6 linked regions of the Danio rerio genome follow. The protein of the gene in region 1 purifies or fractionates together with the protein of each later gene. This does not show direct contact. Links are inferred from orthologs where the notes say so. Each region holds a gene or a part of one and is shown in the gene's direction. Other genes may lie near its edges. The genes, in order: mapk7, pfdn6, pfdn4, pfdn5, vbp1 and pfdn1.

Region 1 (4,081 bases):
AAAAAAAACATTTATAATAGTTTGGAGCAGTAAACGTGTCAGGCTGAATAATTTAAATGAGTCATTGACTTTTGCTGTCTTCATTAGTTTATATAACTCAGATTTCTTACCAATTTAAAACAGCATCTTTGGGGATTTTTCTGCTAATAATGCTGTTGTCCTAAAAAAAAAAGAAAAAACGTGAAAAAAAGACATAAATAAAAAAATCTGTATAGCAAAAATATTGGCAATTTTAAAACCTTGAGTTTTCCAAACCGCAGTATACCTTGACAATGATTATCATCCCATGCCTAATTTAGACCTATACTTAACAAACACTTGAGATATTTATCTTACTTTTCCATGCATATACAGTACAGTTTAGGCATGAACCGGTATACGATTCTGACTGTATAATAACCTTCGAAAAAGTTATCGCAGTCTCATGGTTTGGCATGGGTTGATATAAGATTCTGACAGTATAATAATAATCTTCATTAAAAATATCGCAGTTGTACCATTAGGCATGGTCCGGTGGAAAATTGTGACGGTATGATCAAGGTTACACAGTTGCACGGTAAAGTGATTACTGCTCTAAAATATGTTCTTTTTAAATATCTGGGTAAAAAAAACAATAACTTTTTCCCCCATTGAACACAATAAATTTTTTTTAAAAAAAAAACATTTTAAATATTTTGGAAGAGTAGCTTTTGATGTGGAGGGTCCTTTTCTGCTGGAGATACTGTTGCACTAAAAAAACTAAATAGAATTCTTGCAAAAAAACAAACAATAAAAAAAAGACTATTTTTTTTAAGACCATAGGATCGGTATAACAGAAAATTCTGGTGATTTAAAAACTTGACTTTTCTAAACTGTGGTAATGCTTGAAACTGGTTATCATTCCATGCATATTCACGGCATTTTGATTACTGCTCTAAAATATGTTCTTTTTAAATGTCTGGGTAAGAACTAATTTTGTCCCCTATTGAACACAATATGTTTTACTTTAAAAAAGATTTAAAATATTTTGAAACAGTAAACGTGTCAGGCTTAATAATTAAAATAAATCATTGACTTTTTTTCAATTGAACAAGGTGGAGGCGTTGGCATAATATATAGCTATATTTTTAGTCACTCAGCTTCAAATATAATTCATTTGAAGTAATAGTGTTTTATAACTCAGTGTTCATCAATAAAGTAATTATTTCAAAGCTGTATGATGATTTTTTACAAGCACTGTATACGTGTTTTTAATGTCTCTTCCCTCATGCCAGTCACAACTTACTTTTCTTTTATTTCAGGATGGCATCCAATAAGATGGATGAGACAAATAACAGTCACACAGCAGGAGAAGCCTCAGAAGGCGACAGCAGGAGAGAGAGCAACATTGAAAAGGTCCAGCAAAGAGGCGTTACAGAAGGACCAGCTCAACCCAGCAATGATACGTCCACAGTTACTGATGACACTACTGTCGCAGACAAGAACTTGGCCCTGCTCAAAGCCCACTCCCTGGATGTGAAGTTTGAAGTCGGGGATGAATATGACATTATTGAGACCATTGGTACAGGTGCATATGGTGTGGTCTCATCAGCACGAAGACGGGATAATGGTGAGTGTGCCAAGATACTTCCACAATATTATTATTATTATTTTTATTATTATTATTATCACCATCTTCAATGTATTTAGTATTCAGTATTATTGAAAGATGAAACATTTGCAGTCTATTAAAAAGTATATGTACAGTAGTCAGCATAATGGAGTACACCCCATTTTAAAAATAAGTATTTTTATCCATTTCTGTGTGAATATAGGCAATGTATTTTGGTGCATTTAAACAAAACAGATATATATATATATATATATATATATATATATATATATATATATATATATATATATATATATATATATAATATATATATATATATATATATATATATATATATTTTTTTTTTTAATAAGATTTTCACCAAACACATTTAGAAGTTGAAAGATATTACAATTAAATTGAAGCAAAATTTTCCAAAAAAAAAAAAAAAAATAACCATCAATAGGAATAAAAAAGTAGTTGTGAGTTCTTAAAGTTGTAAAGTTTGATTTCTTTATGCTTGATTCCTAATTCAAACACATTATTGTTCATGCATTCAGGCCAGCAGGTGGCAATAAAGAAGATCCCCAATGCCTTTGAGGTTGTGACGAATGCCAAACGCACGCTGCGAGAGCTCAAAATACTGAAGCACTTCAAACACGACAACATCATCGCCATTAAAGATATTCTCCAGCCCGTGGTCCCTCATTCAGCGTTCAAATCAGTGTAAGTTTGCTACCAAGTAGCATGCATGTACTCTATACAAGTTGTCCATGCAGTAATACCATCTCTTGTTCCTTAGGTACGTGGTTCTTGACCTCATGGAGAGCGACCTACATCAGATCATTCACTCGCGGCAGCCTTTGACTCCAGAACACACACGCTACTTTCTATATCAGCTGTTAAGAGGCTTGAAATACATTCATTCAGCCAACGTCATTCACCGCGACCTCAAGCCATCCAACCTGCTGGTCAATGAAAACTGCGAGCTAAAGATCGGGGACTTCGGAATGGCACGGGGATTAAGTGCGGTCTACTCTGAAGAGTCGCGGTCCTTTATGACCGAGTACGTGGCCACCCGCTGGTATCGTGCTCCTGAGCTCATGCTGTCGCTCCACCACTACAGCCTGGCCATCGACCTCTGGTCCGTAGGCTGCATCTTCGGTGAGATGCTCGGTAGGAGGCAGATGTTTCCGGGGAAAAACTACGTGCATCAGTTGCAGCTGATTCTTTCAGTTTTAGGGACGCCACCCGAAAGCATTGTTGGCTCAATTGGGTCAGATAGGGTGCGCTCTTATGTGCGGAGCCTTCCATCCAAAGCACCAGAACCGCTTGCAGCCCTGTATCCACAAGCTGAGCCCAGCGCCTTGAACTTGTTGGCTGCAATGCTCCGCTTTGACCCTCGTGAAAGAATCAGTGCATGTCAAGCACTGGAACACCCGTATCTCTCCAAGTACCACGACCCAGATGACGAACCGGTGTGCGTGCCTGCTTTCAATTTTGAGTTCGACCGGCAGCCCATGGGCAAAGAGCAAATCAAAGAAGCGATACTAACAGAGATCCAGGACTTTCATAAGAAAAAGCAGGGCGTGAGGAAGAAGATCCAGTTTAAGCCGCTCCATTCTTCTGGATCGGCCTTGGTCGGTGTTTCTAGTAACAGCCATTGCACAGCGCAACAGTCTCAACACCTGAAGGAGATGTCACAAACTCACCAGCAGCACAGTCTCAACTTCAAACCAGCAGACACTACTCAAATGAATGTAAACTCGTTTCAAACTCCACATCTTATTGGTCAAATTTTGCCACATTTGGAACAGTCGGTAAGCTGTCAGGATGTGGACATGCCCAGTGCGAACTCTGACGGCCAGCCGGAAACCATTGATCTGACCACTCCCACAGACAAGGACACGTCTTTTACTGAGCCTGCGATAGACTGCAGGAAGGATAAGAGTGTGTTATCCAATTACACTGCTCCATCTCGATCCGTCTCTCAGACTCCACCCACAAGTCTTCCACAGTCAGTCCCTTCACTCTCTCTCTCACAGTCCCAGGTGCAGTCGCTCTCTCAAAATCTCTCTCGTTCGCTTGGAAAAGGAGGAAAACCGACTGCTGCGGAAGGTACGAAAAAAGAGGGAGCAATATCTGAAGACACAAAAGCAGCTCTCAAAGCTGCCTTGCAGAAATCTGCGCTAAGACAGAAGGCACGAGGTAAGTGTGTATGTGGCCAGTCTTCAAAAATTAAACTATTAAAGCTGATTTATACTTCTGTGTCAAGTGATTGGCGTGACCCACGGCACCTGCCTTGTGCGTAGTCGTGCCTTTATACTTCTGCGTGCTGTTTGTGTTGCTCTGCTATAACACTTCTGAAACACTAGCTGGACGCTACCTTAATGTACAAGTAGGTAAAACTAGCTTATTCAGAGGTGGAAACCGGCGGGCGTGAAACAACTTTAATCATAAGGTAAACACAAAACAATAGTTTCCATCTAGAGCAGGGGTCACTCGCCTTGT
Region 2 (4,176 bases), on another chromosome or scaffold:
AAACATTGGTGTGTCGACACAAACTACTGTGTCGCTCCCACAAGTAACAAGCATAATCAAAACAACTGAGATTAAAGTGTCCAAAAAAAGTGATTTCTTCAACTAAAATTGCAGGTTCAGAGGACTAATCATCATACAAATGTTTTATATGAATTTTACAAAGTGACAACCTCTGTCATAACTCTAAAACCATGAACACATTTCATAATACACATTCAACTCACAGCAAAGATATCAGGTTCATTATAGAAAAAAGCAAAAATAGCCACACTCAAAATGACTGCCTGACAAAACAATAGAATTTATGAATTATTTATGTTTTATTCTATTATTTCATTCCTGCCCTTATGAAATTGAACCAAGGGAAGTGTGTGTGTGCGCGTGTTTTGACAGACATATTATTAGTGTAACTAACGTTACAGGTTTACCACAGATACTATGGTTAAATGGTGGTTAATGGTTGTTTGTTTGTTTGTCATCTTAGAAAATTTGATTTTTTTATTGAAAAAAATAAAAAAAGTTTTGAAGAATCACAAGAAGAAGAATAACGTTACTAGCAAATATCGATAAAGTTAAAACATCATGACATCTATTACGAAAATTAACCATGGTTTTACCACAAAAACTAACCATGGTAACCTCAAATCAACATGGTTTTGTTACACTAACCCCAGCTAAACTGTAGTACTTTCAGTAATACTGTGGTTATAAATAACAATCGATACGACAAAAAAAGTATGATTACACTTAACTCTTTAAACCATGGTTCATTCTCGTAATAGATGAATATAGCACATGATACTATTTTACCCTACATATGTTTAAAACGCTGCTTAAGGTGCAGATTTAGAACAGTCATTACATTTGCTTGTGTTATAGAAAAAATATATAACTGACTTTACCTGCTGTTGTGATTCTATGTGGTCGCGCACACCCGAAAAAAGACCTTCACGTTAGAATTTGAACCATGCGCGCTGCCATATTGCCTTGACTGTCACTACAGAGGGCTTGGAGGAAGAGGATAGACTGACACCACATGGACAGGAGAGGCACTACGCTTTTAGATACTGGAAAAATTGTACCCATCGTATTAATCCAAAAATCACATTAACTGATGCGTTAAATCTACATATGGTGCGTAAAATTATAGAGCAAATTATTTAAAGGTGTGTGAATAAACATAATACTGAAAAAAATTGTGTATGTTTTTCTTAAACACTAGATGGCGAAGTAACTCTTTTTATCAGCTATCGTAAAACCCCCATGTGACGCAATGATATGACGTCATTTCCCGTGCGCCTCAGACTGTGTGCTTGAGTAGTGTGCTGCTGACTGTCTGCATTTGTCATAAAATATCGTGATTTTTATTATTTAGCAATAATAATAAGTCAGACATTGGAATAGCAGGTGTGATGGCTGAAGCGATTCAGAAGAAATTGCAAGCTGAGTTGGAGAAATATCAACAACTCCAGAAAGGTAACTTACAGCACGAAAAGCTCAGAGTTAGCAATCCAACACTCCCTGCATGGGCATCTTTATATTGAGGCAAAGTTGGTTTTATATTCGCACATTCGTTCAGTGACAATGTGTGGCATGCTCCCTATATTGTTTACCATGGTACTTTGAATATTCGGTCTGAAATCACATGTAAATAAGACTACATTAACGTTATCACTATTTATTTGACTGAATAATGGTGTAATTTGATAGCCATCGTCTGCTAATATGGTTTCACTATTTAGGATTTGCTAACTACAGAATACTTTTCGGAATTTTTAATAGGAGAAAGTCTGAATGTGTAAATATAAAACCAACTTTACCTCATTGTGTAAATTGGCTTTCTCTCTAAAAATCTTATTAAAGTATTTTTGTCAATTCTAAATGGTAAAATCATATTAGCAGCCATTGACTATCAAAATCACCATGGTAAACAATGTAGGGATGTCACAAGTTTTCACTGAACGAATGTGCGAATATAAAACCAACTTTACCTCAATCATCTTTATGTTCGGCTCCTTTAATAATTTATATTTAACGTATTTGTAGTAATTTGTTGTATTCAGGTTTAATATCTATGTAGTGCAATGCACTGATAAAGTACAAATGTCACGGTTATGTTGTATTTGGACTTGATTTAGCTACCCAGAGCTATTTTAGACAAAATCCACATTCAATCTACAAATTCTCATTATTGAACGTTTTAAAAAGGCTTTTACTATTTTATTTTATTTTATGATTCATTGTGTAAGTTTCTTGGTATTTATAGTAACACCATTATGAATATTCATATAGCCAAGTTATACCAGTGTACACTTGCACATTTCCTGCAACATATCTTTGAATAAATAAAAAGTTTTAACTAAATTAGAATAAATATAATTAATTTGAGATTTTATAAATCATGATTGTTCAAAAAACATATACCAAATAATGCATATATATATGTATGTATGTATATATGTATGTATGTATGTGTGTGTATATATGTATGTGTGTGCTCCTTTAATAATTTATATTTAACGTATTTGTAGTAATTTGTTGTATTCAGGTTTAATATCTATGTAGTGCAATGCACTGATAAAGTACAAATGTCACGGTTATGTTGTATTTGGACTTGATTTAGCTACCCAGAGCTATTTTAGACAAAATCCACATTCAATCTACAAATTCTCATTATTGAACGTTTTAAAAAGGCTTTTACTATTTTATTTTATTTTATGATTCATTGTGTAAGTTTCTTGGTATTTATAGTAACACCATTATGAATATTCATATAGCCAAGTTATACCAGTGTACACTTGCACATTTCCTGCAACATATCTTTGAATAAATAAAAAGTTTTAACTAAATTAGAATAAATATAATTAATTTGAGATTTTATAAATCATGATTGTTCAAAAAACATATACCAAATAATGCATATATATATGTATGTATGTATATATGTATGTATGTATATATGTATGTATGTATGTGTGTGTGTATGTATATATATATATATATATATATATATATATATATATATATATATATATATATATATATATACATACATGCATGCATGCATGCATGCATGCATGCATACATACATACATACATATACATACATATACACACATTTCAAAACATGAATTCCCAGAGAAGCTACCAACCACAGAGTCATGGGAGCAGAAAAAATCAATCTGTAAATTTTTAAAAAATTAAATACATTTTAAATAAATAAATAAACATGTGTTATGGATGTGACGAAAAAAGTCTGCGAGTTTACAGTATACAACATACTTTGATGTTGATGTTGATGTTGTTTTTATTTAATTTAGTGATAATATATATATATATATATATATATATATATATATATATATATATATATATATATATATATATATATATTAAATATATATAAATAAAATAACATTAAATATAAACATTTCCCCGAGATGGGTTGCGGCTGGAAGGGCATCTGCTGCGTAAAAACTTGCTGGGTAAGTTGGCGGTTCATTCCGCTGTGGCGACCCTGGATGAATAAAGGGACTAAGCCCACAAGAAAATGAATGAAATAAAAACAATATCAACCTTTAAAACTTTCAGTAATGATAAATCATTCATCATTTTTTTCGGCTTAGTCCCTTTATTAATTTGGGGTTGCCATAGCGGAATGAACCGCTAACTTATCCAGCACGTTTTACACAGCGAATGCCCTTCTATCTGTAACCCATCACTAGTAAACTATACACAATCATTCACACACATACATTACAAACAATTTAGCTCACCCAGTTCACCTACTGACCCAGCCGAGGCTTGAATCAGCGACTTTCTTGCTGTGAGGCGACTGCGCTGCCCACTGCGCCACCATGCTGCCCAGTAATGATAATACTGTAGCTTATTATAAGCTTTAGATTTTAAATTAAAAATAGATTTTATTGATAATAGAAAATATGTAATTGCTTTGATTTTAATGTCTCATGATTGCTCAAATATTTTAAAATTAAAATATTTAATGAAAGGCAAAATTATAATATTACTACATATTATAAAACAGACCAGTGTATTGTACTTGTGTAAACTTTCACTTTAATGTGTTTGATTTCTTTTTAAAATAACAGACATATCATGTATTCATATTTTTCAGAAAACATTATCCAAAAAGTGTGAGATATAGTGTAAAAATGA
Region 3 (4,246 bases), on another chromosome or scaffold:
AGGTTAATTAGGTTAACTAAGCAGGCTAGGGCAATTAGGCAAATGATGGCTAGGCTATTGTAAAATGATGGTTTGTTCTGTGTAGACTATCGGAAAAAATAACCAAAAGGGGATAATAATTGTATCCTTAAAATGGTGCTTAAAAACTTAAAACTGCTTTTATTCTAGTCAAAATAAAACAAATAAGACTTTCTCCAGAAGAAAAAATATTATCAGACATACTGTGAAAATTTCTTTGCTCTGTTAAACATCATTTGGAAAATAAAAAAAAAATAAAAATAAAAAAAAATCAAAGGGGGGCTAATAATTCTGATCTCAACTGTATAAAAATTTATTTGTTCTTAGACATGGATAAATCTAGATATAAAGGGACAAAAAAGTACATTTTAATTCAACCCATGATTTCTCATAATTCCTTTATAAATAGGCTATTAAATATTCCTCAATTGCATAGTTTGTTATTAAGTTGGCCGTGTACTGTTTAAAAATTTTGTGAGTTTAAGTTTCAAAAAATAACCTAGCCTTTAAAATTATAGTTATTTCAAATAAGAATTAGGATAATTATTTACTTTATAGCAGAGATGCAAAAACTAGGGAATGTGGGCCAAAGTTAGAACATGTTAAGCTTTGATTTGTCCCGTCATCCCATCTGAGAAGAGATGGAGAATGATGGGGATGGTTTTGAGGTTGTCAGTTTAAATTTAATGTAGCCCTTTGCTAGTTTTTATTGTTAAAAGCTAATTGAAATTAAGTGTTTCAATTAAATTGTGTAAATTAAATCAGATTTTGTTTAAATGTACACATTGTCATCTGATAATGTAGAGACTTAGGTGAGCAAATCAAGTCAAAGACTAGTGACTAGAGTATTCAGCATTGAACTTCTAAAGAGATTGTTAATTTTTATTGCAATAAATTATCAATTAAAATGTTATTCTGCATTAGTTAATAGGATTTAAAGTGATGTTTTCTATTTATTTTAAAATATTATAAAATGAATTAGGAAATTAATTATCCAAGTCAATTTAAATGTAATATAGTTTGGTATATTTGTTCATACATATTCATGGCGCGTGACGGTATTTGATTTTTGGCCCTTTATACGAAAAGTTTGGCCATCCATTGCTTTAGAGACAACTATTAGTTATTTTTGCTTTTAACTAAAAACTCGCTTCATTTAGATTTTTCTTCCAAGAAAAGCTTCTCAAAGACTTATTGCCAAGACAACGTTGTTTCTTAAGTAAACAGCTAACGTTATCTATATTAAACATACTTTAATGTTAATATTATATATTTAATAGAAAACGAAACAAAATAAGGAAAAAACGCATTTTACACTTCCATTTCCAATGTAAACACCCATATATATGATATAACATGCGAATTCGACATTTAAATCATCAAAAGTATGTTTGTGTGGGAGTAAATCTACGGTTGTCCAGAAGATGTCAGTAAGTGTTGCTAACTAAAATCCTCAAGTCTGTATGGCTGCAGCCCAAAATCCTTGCAACAGCGGATAATTTTAAGAAAACCGACTTCAAAACGCATTTAGTTAAGCCAGTAATTTAGATTCAAACATAAAACTTCATAATTTCTTTGTCAAACGTACCATATTTTCGAAGCAGCAACCGAAACACGCAACAAACACTCAAACATCCACGTGCTCCATTCAGACGCCGTTCAGGCGCGTGCACGCAGCTCGCTTCCCGTTCAAGATGGCAGCCACCATGAAGAAAGGAGTGGTATGTGTTCCCATTATCGGCTTTCTGTCTACATTCACGTTGTTTTGTTGCTCATCCCTGAGAAACGCGTTGGTGATGCTGAAATATCTAAAATATTAAACGAAAGAGACAGCTGAGGGAAACTGAGGACGGTTTATTGTTTATTTTCACCGGCTTGGATGGCTAACGTCATATTATTCGTGCCTGTCTGTTAATGAGTTTTATTGTAATTATTTACATTTACGTTCATCGTTCTGCACCAATCTATCTATCTATCTATCTATCTATCTATCTATCTATCTATCTATCTATCTATCTATCTATCTATCTATCTATCTATCTATCTATCTATCTATCTACATTTAAATTTAGGTGGTTTTAAATCACATAATTGTATTGTCATTCTTAAATATTTCTTATAGATTGACCAGATTAACAACTTGTATATTGGGTTGTTTATTTTGTTCTTTTATATAGAGTTTAGTTTACATAAAAAAGCTTTTTTTAAATGTATAAAATGCTAAGCAAACTTATATTTGTGTAAATCACATCGAGTCTAAACCACAAAGAGTCAAGATGACAGGATTCAAATCAAAGATTTATGATTTGCTTAGCATTTATATTGTAAAATTTTAAAAGTAAATCTAAAGATACAAAGAAATGCAAATAATATGCATATTTAGCAAGGCATATTTTTTGACAGAGCTTACCGAACATCCAAAACAATGCTGAGTGTTTGTGTGTGTCCATGTGATGGTAACTTCATAATTTGAGAGCTTGTGAAACGCTTATAAAAATGTGTAAAGGAGTCAAAACAATGACATGAATTCCTATTTAAATGAAGATTTCTGATGCCTGTGTTGGTTAACATAGCAACTACATTTTTGAAAAGCATTTTTGAGTATCCTGTCATTTTTAATGTTCGCATCTTTATAAAGCACATTTAAAAACAACCAAGGTGGACCCAAGGGCTGTACATAGGAGTACTAAACACAGAGACGAAATCAGAATATAAAAGAAGCATTTAGAAAATAAAACAATAAAACATTGATCAAGGAGTATTAAAGCGAGAGAAAATAGGTGTTCAAAACAGACTTAAACACAGAAATAGAGGGGGAAAGTCTAATGTGAATTGGTGGGGTGTTCCAGAGTTTAGAACCAGCAACTGCAAATGTTCAATCACCTTGTTTTTTAAGGCATGTTCTGGTTACGTAAGTTAATTGAGATCATAAGATCTCAATGATCGAGAGGAGGTATACGGATGGAGCAAGTCTGTAAGGTACTGAGGAGCAAGACTATTGACAGCTTTGTAAACAAATAATAAAATTTTAAAATCAATTCTGTATTTAATGGGTAACTAGTGAAGTGCAGCTAAAATCGGAGTTACCGACTCATACTTGCGGGTGCCAGAGATTAGTCTAGCAGCTGCATTTTGTACCAGCTGCAGACAAGAGAGAGAAGACTGAGAAATACCAAAATAGAGTGAGTTACAGTAATCCAGTGTTATGAAGGCATGGATCATTGTTTGAAAATTTCTCTGAGATAATAATGGCTTCATTTTAGACAGTTGTTAAGGTGGTAAAATCAGGTTTTTACGACAGGACTGATCTCTTTTTAATTCTTAAATTTTCTTTAATTTAAAATTTTCATCAAACATAACACCGAGACTTCTTGCACACTGGGTAATATGTGGGGCCAAAGATCGTACATTGACATTTAACAGAGATTTTACTACGTCATCATGCAATAACACCAGAATTAATTTAAATTAAATCAAACCATAATAAGTAATGCACAATGTTTAATCAAAACTACTGCTTGAATCATAACTTGAGTTTACTTCTATTTTTAAAATATATTTATTATCTGTTTTTTGTCCTGTCTCTCTCATTCTGTTGCACTGTAAAAGCTTCTGTCACGAAAATAAACTCCTCGCATGTATGAACATACCTGGCAATAAAGCTCTGATTCTGATTCTGAACAGGCAGCAGAGGATGTCAATGTAACATTTGAGGACCAGCAAAAGATAAACAAGTTTGCCAGGAACACAAATCGGATGTCTGAACTGAAAGATGAAATCGAGGCCAAAAAGGTAATATTGTGATGCTTTTGATTTATACAGGATATAAGCTGCATTTTACTGACGCATAATCTTTATTGTGCGTAGAAATCTTTACAGAACTTAGAGGATGCCAGTGATGACCTCATGATGTGTGAGGATGATTCGATGCTGATCCCGTATCAGATTGGAGACGTGTTTATCAGTCACTCGCAAGAAGAGACGCAGGAGATGCTGGAGGCAGCAAAGGTGACTTTATTTTTTTTACACACTTTATAGGGCACTCAATACAATATACAGGAAAAACTGTGGAATGTCATTGTGGGCCATTACAAAAATTTAAAACGCTTTTGACTTGAAAAAAAAAGTTGCAAATCTAGGTCAAAAAAGTTACAATAAATTGTTAGGTTTAAACACAGGCGCTTTGTTTACATTCGTTAAAATGCGTTAGTACGATTATAAGTGGACA
Region 4 (4,145 bases), on another chromosome or scaffold:
TTAGTAGTTTTGATCGGGACTGAGGTTGATTAACAGATTTATGGGAAAACATATTTATCTGATGCATTTTTACAGCAGTTTAAATTAGTGGAGGTTTTCATCCCAAACATAACAAAAGGGTAGCAAAATTGCCCAGAGTGTATCGTTAAGTTCTTTAAAAATGTCAAAGCATTTTCCAAAAACGTGTCAAAATTAAATTTGTCGCCAAAGTCGTTCTGCTAGTTGAAACAGAAAAAGTTGACCAAATGAAGACACAAAATCACCCCAGAGTGGATGAAAACACCCTCAACAGCACACAGGGGTTAACTGAAATGAGGGATGTGCTAGTAAAGGAGTACACATGGAGGAAAAACATGAATTGGTCATCTGTCACTGCAGACTGATGGATAAACCGACAGGCAACAAGGACTGTAAACACTGAAATCGGTGTTCCCATAAGTCTTCAAAATGTCAGGGACAGCGTTTTCAGAGACGTACAAATATCTGACGTACCTGATCTGATGTGATTCTTATGTGCTGAACGGCCAGGTTTAATGGTGAATCTGAAAAAATGAAATATTAATTTAAACAAGTGTTACGGACTTCCTGTCATGAGTTAGTGTTTCAGATGAGATTTTCTGCTTTTGTAAAATACACACTACTCCTGTTGGAGAAAACTCAGGACAATACCAAACACATAAAGGCAAACACACACATACACACACAAACATTAATGAATGCCCATGAGCTTTATAAGGATTTGAGCTGTGTACATTTTCTTCACTTTTTAACTGGTGTGTATTTTTAGTGTTCAATGTCTACTGAAATACAAACCTATTCTAATACTTAACAATGAGGCTTAAAATAGTTGAAATTTGTGCACCACATGCATTGACAATGAATAGTTTGTTAATTGATTAATAAGGATTTACTCATGTTTACATACTAATCAAATACATTCCCTACTGAAAAATCAGTTGACCAGCCTGGTTTTAGAGGGGTTTTGGCCATTTCCAGGCTAGTTTCCAGCCATTTCCAGCCTGGTCTTAGCTGGTCAGGCTGGAAAATGACCAGCCAAATCCAACTAAAACCAGCTTGCCCAGCCTGGTTTAAGCTGGATATAGCTGGTTTTGGCTGGACTCCCAGCTTGGCTAGGCTGGTCAAGCTGGTTTTAGCTGGTCATCTCCCTTTTTTTTTAAGGTAATGTTAATACATGCTGTATAAATGCACTGTTAGTTTATTTAGTCGACGTTTTATTTGTTAAAGTATAACAAATGACTGTAGTGTGTAATGGAAAAAAATCAATGGTAAAAGTCCTTTTAGTTGCGTCCGCTTGACCCGGAAGTTTTCCTCACCCTCTTTTATTGTCAACATGGCGGTGAATCTCACTGAATTGTCTCTTCCACAATTAGAAGGCTTGAAAACTCAGCTTGATCAGGTAAATTGTGTTAAAAATAAAAAACATCATCGTTTCGTATGTCCGAGTAGCATCAGGTGCTGCTGTTTTTCTGTCAGTGAATTAATTTACTGACGGGCTGCGGTTGTCATGCTGTCTGTGCGCGTGCTGCTGCTGCTGGTAATGCGGAAAAAAAGCCCTCTATGATTGTCCACATGGCTGCATTTATTCCGTATGACAGAAAATGAGATGCAGAATGACTTTATCGACGTTCACTTGCATTGTATGTGAATGGTGTCTCAGTCAGTTCTCACTAAACACAACTTGGTTTTATTTTAACGAGTTCACAGTTTGAAATATATTTTGGTACCAAGTCTATAATCTGTATAAGATTAATTTAAAAGACTAATTTTGTTTTTCTGTGAGTAAACTTTTGAAGTTTACATGTGTCCTGATTATCTGTTTTATTTTGACCGTCATATTTATTTTACTGTATTTTACAGAAGACCCCAACAAAAATGTCATAACAATAGTTTATATATATTAAAAATTCTGGGCAGCCATATTTTTAGACCAAGATTATTTTGATGGCATTTAACTATTTAAAGGTTGAACTGTAGCTCCCAAATTCTAATTATTTTTCTTTTTTTAAACATGCATAATTTGTCACTATCCTTCAAACCCTTTATTTTACTAATTTTTACTTTTAAGGTTTAAAACCTTGACTATTCCAAACCTTGCCGGTTTACCTTGCAAACAGTTATCGCCCCATACCTAGTACAGAATAAGTACTATGTTTTTCCCATTTTTAAATAAATATATATGTTGCTCTGAATTACCCTGACATTATTTCCTAAATTATTATTATTGTTAATTATTTGATAGATTTTCACTCATTTTTTGATTTTATTTTTACAAAAGTTATTTGAAACATTTAAGTTAACACTTTGCTTGCGTTCAGTGTGCTTTCTGTGAATATAAATGCAATAATGTTAATTTACTTTGAGACACCAAAAAGGGACATCTCAAGGTAGATTTACACGTTATTTTGTATAAATTGCTTAAAAATGTGTTTTCTAGGAAACAGAGTTCCTGTCATCGTCTATAGCTCAGCTGAAAGTCGTCCAAACAAAATATGTGGAGGCCAAAGACAGTTTGAATGTGCTTAACAAGAGCAATGAAGGTGACTTTTAAAACTCTTTTATGACGTTTTTAGCTAAATCTGACGTTTGCTAATTTTTTTTTACTTTTTCTCTCAGGTAAAGAACTACTCGTCCCTCTCACCAGTTCTGTATCCTCTAAACAGCTGAGTTATAAATGAGTTCTGATTGATTTATGCCACATAAGAAAGTCACACAGACAGTTTGATGTGTGTGTAATTAATTTGCAGTGGTCCGTTATTCCCTTAACCTCAGTCATGTAGATGTATGTACCTGGAAAGCTGCATGATGTGGATCATGTGTTAGTGGATGTGGGAACAGGTTATTTTGTGGAGAAGGTGAGTAAGAATCAGTCTAGTAGTTTTAGTATATGTAAAAATGTCAAAACTGAGTAAATCACATTGCCTTTTCTGTCTTTTCAGAATGTAGAGGACGGCAAAGAGTTCTTTAAACGCAAAATCGACTTCCTTACTAAACAAATTGAAAAGATTCAGCCTGCTCTTCAAGAAAAATATGCCATGAAACAAGGTGATTTTCTTGTCTTTTGAAAAACATGTTTCTTATGTTCACCATAGCTGATAAAAATACAGTACATTTTTATTGTATTTCTTTTTTCACTATTTTCAAGTAAGCCTGTCACAATAATCAATATAACGACTGAGCGTACAACACATGGACATGACCTCAATCATTTTTGGTGATGCAATATAAATCACACATACATAAAGACCAATTCTGGCAATATTTTAGGTGTTTGTGCAACATCTCTATCTATTGGAGATGTCAGTATGGTTAAAAATCACAATTTTATTTACTATAGATTACTGTCGTATATTTTCATGTGGGTGTCTAACAACTGAAAATAGATCTGGGGTCCGTTCTTCGTACCTCGCTTAAATGATATAAGATGATTTGGCAGATCCTGGATCTTTTCATCTTGATAACTGATCTCTGGCTAATTTGGTTCTTCAAACAAGTTTGCGAATCCGATTAGAATGTCTGGATAAACTGATCTGAGATCGCTGCATGTGTTGTGAAGGACAGATCCATCGATCCTCGAAATCATGATCAGCAATGCAACGATTGGCTGACGGCACAGCAGCGTAATGACATCATCTGAATAATATTCAATTATCCATGTGAGCAAAATTACATCAAACAAGCAGTAAACGGTTTGTTGTGAGCTGCAGGCTTAACACTTTCATGTGTCAAGAGTATTCATTATGTATTTTAAAGCATATCAATGTATTTAGTTCTACATTTAGAGAAGATTTTCTTTATTATAGTAGCTTAGGCCTACTCAAGTTTTTTTTAATTGGAGTAAGGAATAACTGTATGAATTAATTTTCCATCAAAAAAGCATTTTGATAAAGGTGAAGGTGTCTGCAACTTTTGTGAAGCAACATATCACCGGCATATTGGCGATCACAACATGTGCATGACTGCATAAATCAGTATCCTTTTTTTAAAAAAGTTGAATATTGTGCATTTGCATTGTATTTAAAAAGTTCATATCAATACATTTTCTCTTTGAACCACCAGGTGGCAGTCTTTGTACTTATTTCGGAGTGCAGATTGCATAAGTTTTATTTATCTATATATTTCTTAAA
Region 5 (4,099 bases), on another chromosome or scaffold:
AACATTGGAGTATTCTTTTGACTTGTTTTTTAAAAAAATAACACACACACACACACACACACATAAACACAAACCAAAGTATATGCTGCACATTTCAGTATTCACATATTTTGTTTTACTGTAAGAAACTGAAAATTACCAATAAAAATATGAATTATTATCTTTTTAAAATAAGCTGGTTTCACCCTCTATTCTAAAGAGGGTGGAATGTGCTTCTGTTTAATTAATCTGCATGTATTTTGGCTAGTTTCCACATTCTTTAATGCAATTTACCCTAAATATACTGCATTTTTGACTTAGGCTCATTCATTCACTGACTAATTTTCTTAGCTTAGTCCTTAAATCCATCAGTGGTCACCACAGCAGAATGAACAGCCAACTTATCCAGCATATAATTCACACAGCGGATGCCCTTCCAGCTGCAACCCAGTAGGCAACTGGGAAACATCCATACACATTCATTCACACACATACACTACGGCCAATTTAGTTTATTCAATTCACTTAGCACATGTCTTTGGACTGTTTGGGGGAAACCGGAGCACCCGGAGGAAACCCACACAAACACAGGCAGAACATGCAAACTCCACACAGAAATCCCAGCCGGAATTTCGAACCAGTGACCTTCTTGCTCTTAGACAACAGTGCTAACCACTGAGCCACCGTGTCGCCCTTGCCTTAATCTGTTTTATATTTGTTTCTCTTCTGCTTTTATTTACAATCATTTTTAAATATGAATTATAATGTGACACTGTATGTGTGATATAAGTGCATATATAGGCCTATTTAATAAAACACATCTAATAAGGTGCTATTCTTGCCCTGCTACTTACTTTCACCTAAAGATCCACATGCAGACAAAGAAAGCCTGTACTGAAGCTGACAGTAACATTAGTAAGCAGAACAGACAGACTCAATAATAATATTATGAAAAATCAAACTGAAGACTAAGAGCCAATGTATTTATCTGTTTTTTCATATCACCGCAAATGTATTGGATCAAACCTCTGGCTTGCCACCAACTGCTGTCGTCACGGCCAGCGCCTCGTGCTATTTCTCATGTCAATCAGGCAACACTGACATCTGCCGGTCGGTTTGATAAATGTCGGATATTATTAAAAAACATACGTTAACAAAGACAGATGGACTACATTTGAATTTAAATATGATATAAAAAGAAATTAATGACAAAATGGCCAGATGAAATCATCACCTGCTCATTGTTATAAGAAGAAGAAAGTCACTTTTATTATGCACGCGGCGCCCGTGCGTAAGAACAGCGTGCGCGTGCGTCAAAGAGGAAGAGTCGTAAGTCTCTCCAAAATGGCGACGACCATAGAAAGTGGCAATGCAGGAGCTGCAAATAAGAAAAAACACCTCGGAATCCCTGAAGCAATATTTGTGGTCAGTGCGAAAGGGATATATAGTTAATTTTCATGTCCATGCTGTCGACATGTTTCTGTCTGTGTTGGTTTGTTCGTCTTTAAACGGCTTTAAGTAAGAAAGCGCCTTGTTCTTCTCCTTATAAGGGTGCAGGGATTGCTTGCTCATGTCTTGAATGTGAGCTTTGAGTGACAGAGAACATGTGAATAACTGGCTCTCAAAAACCGCTTTGTTAATTATAAGCCTTAATTAACCAGATGTGAAACACATTGTGTGTTCTGTAGGAAGATGTGGACGCCTTCATGAAGCAGCCGGGCAATGACACAGCAGACGCCGTGCTGAGGAAGCTGGATGAACAATATCAGAAATATAAATACATGGAGCTCAATCTGGGGCAGAAGAAACTCAGGTTTGGTTTTGATCTGTTCTACGTTGTGCTGTAAAAAGAAGTCAATCTTTCAGTCACAAATTACAATAAGATTTCATTGGGTAATGTATTTACTGACACAACCAATGATTAACAACACTTGCACAGCATTTATTGATCATAGTTCTACATAAATGTACTAATGCATCAATAACATCCAAATTTATGCTTAATATTAGTTAATGTATCGTGAGTTAACATGAACTAACAATGAACAACTGTATTTTCATGAACTACTGTTAACGAACATCTAATACTGTCATAAATGTATGTTTCATTGTTTGTTTATGTTAGTATATGCATTAACTAATAAAACCTTACTGTAAAGTGCTCTGGATAGCATGCGTATATGTGGCTACAAGTTGTTTTTGCAGACTATAATTGTTGACATTTTTTCCCTCTGTTTCAGGTTGAAAAGCCAAATTCCACAAATCAAACAGACATTAGAAATCCTACGGCACATGCAGAAAAAGAAGGTAAGCTCATTTCTTAATTAATGGTGATTTAAAAAGAAAATTTGTCTCAAAATTGCTTCACAGAAACAAATCAAAGTTCAGTCTAAAATTACTTAAAATGATTTCTCAAAGTTATTTACTGCTTTTAGGATTTCTTTCATGTACTCCTTGTGAGAAGTATATATATATATATATATATATATATATATATATATATATATATTTATATATATACTTTTTTTAATAAATGTATATAAATATTTTTTTTGTAGTGTGTTGCAGAAGAGCAGTCACATATTAGATCACGTGTCATAATTGTGTCTTTAACATACACATAAATGTGTCTATTCATCATAAACTGGCCTGTCAATCAGCCTGTCATTTAAAGTCAGTCTTTTTCTCTATACATGTTATAGATCTTTTTGTGCTCTTTTGCTTCTAGGGCTGTGTAATTGAGGGGAAAAATGAACATTTCAATATTTTATTTTTCATCTTTGTAAACAAATGATCTTAATACAATAAATCATATAAGCATAATTAAGGTGATTTTGTTTTTTAATATTATAATATTAACAGAGGTTTTTTAATATTATAATCAAAAACAAATTATTACAATACAGTAAGATAGTTATGAAATTCGCCCTAAAATTACATTTTAAATGATAAATTTTTGAGATGCAGCAAGTGTATTGTTCTGCTTCACCAGAATTCCTCTTTATTTATTTTTATTTATGCATATCAAATCAAAGGACACCACAGATCCCATGGAGACACATTTTCTGTTGGCTGATAACGTCTACTGCAAGGCCTCTGTTCCACCTACAGATAAAGTGTGCTTGTGGCTTGGGGTAAGTGTTGAATGTTGAGTCCTGATGCATTTGATGTGAGCATGAAATCAAAATAATTATTATCTATCAAGATAATTATCTTTTAATTTAATGGTTTATTATAAGACCAAGTGTGGTACTGATTTTTGTTTTTTTACTACCCTGTGTCACTGCATTACATTATGAGCTGTGAAATCCTTGTTGTGTTGACTAAAACAACTGCTTTAAAAAGCATGTGTGAAAGTGTTGACGATCATTGCCTTTGTTTTGCTCTTTTGTACTGCTTATGAACTCATGAAACCTCTTCATCACTTGTAGCGTACCGGGTTCCCACATGTCTTAAAATTACTAGAATTTTATAATGTTTATTCCAGATATTGTCAGTAGGGATGTAACGATATTAAAACCGACCCGAAATATCACAATACACCAACCACGATACGTATCTTGAAACTCGTGGCATACCGCGATATTCTTATGCCCCCTGCTGCCCATTGTTGAGGTTGACATCACTTGTCTCTAACTAATTGAACCAATTTAAACATATTTATCACATTTGATTAAATTGTTTTAGTAATGATGAGCTTTTGTTTTAAATATTATATTCTTAAGTTAGTATTTTCCAAGTGCATGTCATGTGATGTGACTTAAGAAAGCATCACACTCAGTTACTACTGTATGCAGGATGGCTGCTTCACACAGTACTGAGATTCCAGATCCCCCAGACACATTTAAGTCATCTGTGTGGGAACATTTTGGTTTTCCAGTGGAGTACTGGAATGGAATTTGTGTCGTAGACAAAGCACACGTCTATCTATCGTAACTGTTTCACAACTTACACAAAACCTCACAATGTGAGGGTGTAAGCAACAGAACTGCCAACTAAAGTGATTTAATCTACAAAAGTGAAACCAGAAAAATGCCCAAATATATACAAAAAAGAGAAATATTTACACTAATAAAAATAATATAATAAAGTAGCAAATTCAAACAAAGGATCAAACAAA
Region 6 (3,500 bases), on another chromosome or scaffold:
GGCAGACCTGCAGATCGAACAGCTGAGTCGTGTAAAGAAGCACGCAAATCTCACGCATGGAGAGATTACATCACTTCCTGAAAGCACTCGGATGTTTGAGGGAGCAGGACGGATGTATGTATAATTCTGGAGGTTTCAAATCTGGACCCTTTACTCTCTGTTGTTTTGACCTTCTCTTCCTTCCTTTATTCAGGTTTATTTTGCAGTCAAAAGGTGAGATCTCTAATCAGCTTTTGGAAAAGCAGAAGACGGCAGATGACAAGATAAAAGAGCTTGAGGTAGGTTATGAGCAAAAAAACAAATATAGTTGCTTATATTAAATCTACTTGTCCGACAAAGAACTGCTTATCAAAATACAAAGGATAGGTCACCTTATTTTAACATTTTTTACTTGCTGTTAAAAAAAATCTATGAAAGTCATAATTAAATAAGATATACACTCGGCGGCCACTTTATAAGGTACACCTTACAACTATCGGGTTGGAACCCCTTTTGCCTTCAGAACTGCTTTAATCCTCCAGGGCATAGATTCAACAAGATACTGGAAAATTTCTCAGAGGTTTTGGTTTATATACTGACATGATAGCATTATACAGTTGCTGCAGATTTGTCGGTTGCTTATCCATGATACCAATTTCCCGTGCCACCAAAGGTGCTCTGTTGGATTAAGATTGGGGGACTGTGGCCATCTGAGTAAAGTGAACTCATTGTCATGTTCAAGAAACCAGTCTGAGATGATTCATTTGACATGGCATGTTATCCTGCTGGCAGTAGCCATCAGAAGATTGGTACACTGAAGTCATAAAGGGATGGACATGGTCAGCAACAATACTCGGTCAGGCTGTGGTGTTGACATGATGCTCAATTGGTACTAATGGGCCCAAAGTGTGCGGAGAAAATATCCCCCACAACATTACACCACCACCACCAGCCTGAACTGTTGATACAAGGAAAAATAGATCCATGCTTTTATGTTTTTGATGCCAAATTCTGACCCTACCATCCAAGTGTTGCAGTGAAAATCGAGACTCATCAGACCAGGCAACATTTTTCTAATCTACATTTGCGCCCACAGAACTGCCGCTCACTGGATATTTTCTCTTTTTCGGACCATTCTTTATAAACAATAGAGATGGTTGTTTGTGGAATGCTCAGTAGATTAGGTTTCTGAAATACTCAGACCAGCACGTCTGGCACCAACAACCATGCCACGTTCAAGTAATTTAAATCACCTTTCGTCCCCATTTTGATGCTTGGTTTGAACTGCTGCAGGCTGATTAGAAAAACTTGTGATAACGAACAGTTGGATAAGTGTACCTATTAAAGTGGCCGGTGAGTATATATATATATATATATATATATATATATATATATATATATATATATATATATATATATATATATATATATATATATATATATATTTATATATAAGTATATAGAAGCTTCTGGTTTTTCTAGTCTTTTGTGTTCATCAAGAAAAAGAGATTAAAAAAAAATTGAAAGTGAGTAGATGATGCCAGAATTTTCCTTCTTTTATCATCTTAAAATTCTGAATGGATTGTAGTGTTTTTAGTATCCATCAGCTAGGAAAATGCTAATGAAAAGCATTAAATAATTAAATGCTAATGATAAACAGAACATTATCATGCATTAGTGTGGATGCAAAAGGTTTTTTTCTTTTAACAATAAAACTGTGGGTTGGGGGGGGCACGGTGGTCTCAGCAAGATGGTTGTTGGTTCGAGCCCTGAAGGTGTTTCTGTTTGCATGTGCTCTCCGTGTCTGCTTGGGTTTCCTCCACAGTCCTAAGCGTGCTGTATAGGTGAACTGAATACACTAAAATGGCCATAGAGTGTAAATAAGAGAGTGTGTAAGTGTTTCCCAGCGCTGAGGGTTGGGGATGGGCATCGGCAGGTAAAACAAATGCCAGAGTAACTGCAGTTCATTCAGTGGCGACCCCTGATAAAGCAGGAAATAAGCACATAGTTTGTACGCCACGCAGTATCAAAATCACAGCAATTATACTCTAATGTAATATCACAAGCTGCGTCACACATATAGGAGGTTTAACCTGATTGGTTAGAACACAGATAGACTTAGACAATCTCAACATGTGTGCGTAAAATTCTAAACAAAATCACCAATGATTACTTTGGCGACAAGCAAAGAAGTCTCCTCCGATGAAGAACACACACACACACACACACACACACACACACACACACACACAAAGAATGCTTATAGACTTCAAGGATGTCTTGTATCTTATCAGAATGGTACAATAAACATCTTTATACTGGCAGCTAACTAATACAAAGAAAGTCTCTCTCATACAATAGAATCTCAAAAGATTTGACAGGTTTTTGTTTTCATCAAAATCCAGTTTCATATGAGAGGTCGTAATGAATGAGCCTGAAGTTCCTGAGGAAAACGCATAACTTGGCATACAGAAATAACAACGAGACCCATATCATTCCAGTTTTACTTCAGTTTTCAGAGTTTATACTCATATTGCTTGACGCTTTTTGCAAGTTTGGCATCCTATCCTGGGAGAAAACCCTGAGCTTGGAGATGATTGAGCATGGCTCCTGCCTTGTCATTTAGCATAAATGGAGTCCAAGATTAGTTAGATCTCAAGAGCTCCCCCTGGTAAACAGAGGAAAAGGAGGAGATGGGGCGGAAGGGGTGATTCTTCCATAACAAAGATAGGGCAAGTAAGGTGAAATCAGTCTATTTATTGTAGACTTGGATCGATATGATTAGATTATCGCTGCTTACGGACGAGAGACCAGCCGCGATCAATCATATCACGTGCTCCTGTCAAAATTAGTTTATAAAATTTTACTTAACCCTATGGTCATCATATAATCTAAACATTTAGAACAAATTCAACTTTATTGATAATCATATCACAGAAAGGATCTTTTGCCAGTCCTATAGCTGTCATCATCTAGATACCCACCCTTTCAATGCAAACTTTGAGACAACCAGTCCACCCTATTATTGTAAAATGATTATTTATTTAAGCTCATCGCACACTGGATGCAAAATTCCACACCACGTCTTTTAGAATAGTAAACATTGTCATCTATGAGAGTACGCTCATCAGCGTCAAAATTTTGCCTTCTTTTCTTTTTTGTATTTCTTAACAATGTTTTGTTTTTTTTTTTTTTTTTAAAGAATACAATGTAAAGAGGGTGTGTGGAGTGTCTGGACCCCCTTTTACACTATACTTTGTTACAGCAAAAAGTATTTAGTTACTGTAATGCATTACTTTTCTAACTCATAAAGTTCTAACAATGGCAATCAAAGGTGACAGATTTTAACTAAGATCTATTATAGAAATCTTTTCCAAAGTTTGACTCAGATGACCAAATAATGGCCAAATTTACATCATAAACTCGGCTTTAGTGAGACCTGAAATGGGATTGTCAGACAAATAAGAGTGTGGGGTGGGGACTTCAGAAATTCAGAAAACGTATAAAGTGCATAAAATGTA

Evidence for each region.
Region 2: the proteins of mapk7 (region 1) and pfdn6 purify together in Homo sapiens (affinity purification with mass spectrometry; 3 studies listed by BioGRID and IntAct, with this or other methods). This does not show direct contact. The link is inferred for Danio rerio from reciprocal best matches to the Homo sapiens genes MAPK7 and PFDN6.
Region 3: the proteins of mapk7 (region 1) and pfdn4 purify together in Homo sapiens (affinity purification with mass spectrometry; 3 studies listed by BioGRID and IntAct, with this or other methods). This does not show direct contact. The link is inferred for Danio rerio from reciprocal best matches to the Homo sapiens genes MAPK7 and PFDN4.
Region 4: the proteins of mapk7 (region 1) and pfdn5 purify together in Homo sapiens (affinity purification with mass spectrometry; 3 studies listed by BioGRID and IntAct, with this or other methods). This does not show direct contact. The link is inferred for Danio rerio from reciprocal best matches to the Homo sapiens genes MAPK7 and PFDN5.
Region 5: the proteins of mapk7 (region 1) and vbp1 purify together in Homo sapiens (affinity purification with mass spectrometry; 3 studies listed by BioGRID and IntAct, with this or other methods). This does not show direct contact. The link is inferred for Danio rerio from reciprocal best matches to the Homo sapiens genes MAPK7 and VBP1.
Region 6: the proteins of mapk7 (region 1) and pfdn1 purify together in Homo sapiens (affinity purification with mass spectrometry; 3 studies listed by BioGRID and IntAct, with this or other methods). This does not show direct contact. The link is inferred for Danio rerio from reciprocal best matches to the Homo sapiens genes MAPK7 and PFDN1.

The regions. Positions count from the first base shown.
Region 1 is NC_133187.1:4,710,395-4,714,475, forward strand, and holds the start of mapk7 (mitogen-activated protein kinase 7), read left to right. Parts: upstream 1-1,281; coding exon 1,282-1,588; intron 1,589-2,130; coding exon 2,131-2,296; intron 2,297-2,372; coding exon 2,373-3,210; coding exon of another isoform or gene 3,211-3,387; coding exon 3,388-3,778; intron 3,779-4,081. UniProt on the Homo sapiens protein: Plays a role in various cellular processes such as proliferation, differentiation and cell survival. The upstream activator of MAPK7 is the MAPK kinase MAP2K5.
Region 2 is NC_133189.1:35,060,256-35,064,431, reverse strand, and holds the start of pfdn6 (prefoldin subunit 6), read left to right. Parts: upstream 1-1,376; 5' UTR 1,377-1,412; coding exon 1,413-1,476; intron 1,477-4,176. UniProt on the Homo sapiens protein: Binds specifically to cytosolic chaperonin (c-CPN) and transfers target proteins to it. Binds to nascent polypeptide chain and promotes folding in an environment in which there are many competing pathways for nonnative proteins.
Region 3 is NC_133198.1:41,423,389-41,427,634, reverse strand, and holds the start of pfdn4 (prefoldin subunit 4), read left to right. Parts: upstream 1-1,446; 5' UTR 1,447-1,712; coding exon 1,713-1,739; exon of another isoform or gene 1,740-1,743; intron 1,744-3,702; coding exon 3,703-3,810; intron 3,811-3,885; coding exon 3,886-4,026; exon of another isoform or gene 4,027-4,246. UniProt on the Homo sapiens protein: Binds specifically to cytosolic chaperonin (c-CPN) and transfers target proteins to it. Binds to nascent polypeptide chain and promotes folding in an environment in which there are many competing pathways for nonnative proteins.
Region 4 is NC_133181.1:42,215,187-42,219,331, reverse strand, and holds the start of pfdn5 (prefoldin subunit 5), read left to right. Parts: upstream 1-1,345; 5' UTR 1,346-1,351; coding exon 1,352-1,417; intron 1,418-2,455; coding exon 2,456-2,558; intron 2,559-2,634; coding exon 2,635-2,666; intron 2,667-2,798; coding exon 2,799-2,873; intron 2,874-2,957; coding exon 2,958-3,063; intron 3,064-4,145. UniProt on the Homo sapiens protein: Binds specifically to cytosolic chaperonin (c-CPN) and transfers target proteins to it. Binds to nascent polypeptide chain and promotes folding in an environment in which there are many competing pathways for nonnative proteins.
Region 5 is NC_133182.1:23,876,034-23,880,132, reverse strand, and holds the start of vbp1 (prefoldin subunit 3), read left to right. Parts: upstream 1-1,299; 5' UTR 1,300-1,323; coding exon 1,324-1,404; intron 1,405-1,667; coding exon 1,668-1,792; intron 1,793-2,219; coding exon 2,220-2,286; intron 2,287-3,014; coding exon 3,015-3,113; intron 3,114-4,099. UniProt on the Homo sapiens protein: Binds specifically to cytosolic chaperonin (c-CPN) and transfers target proteins to it. Binds to nascent polypeptide chain and promotes folding in an environment in which there are many competing pathways for nonnative proteins.
Region 6 is NC_133196.1:32,808,144-32,811,643, reverse strand, and holds part of pfdn1 (prefoldin subunit 1), read left to right. Parts: coding exon 1-114; intron 115-193; coding exon 194-278; intron 279-3,500. UniProt on the Homo sapiens protein: Binds specifically to cytosolic chaperonin (c-CPN) and transfers target proteins to it. Binds to nascent polypeptide chain and promotes folding in an environment in which there are many competing pathways for nonnative proteins.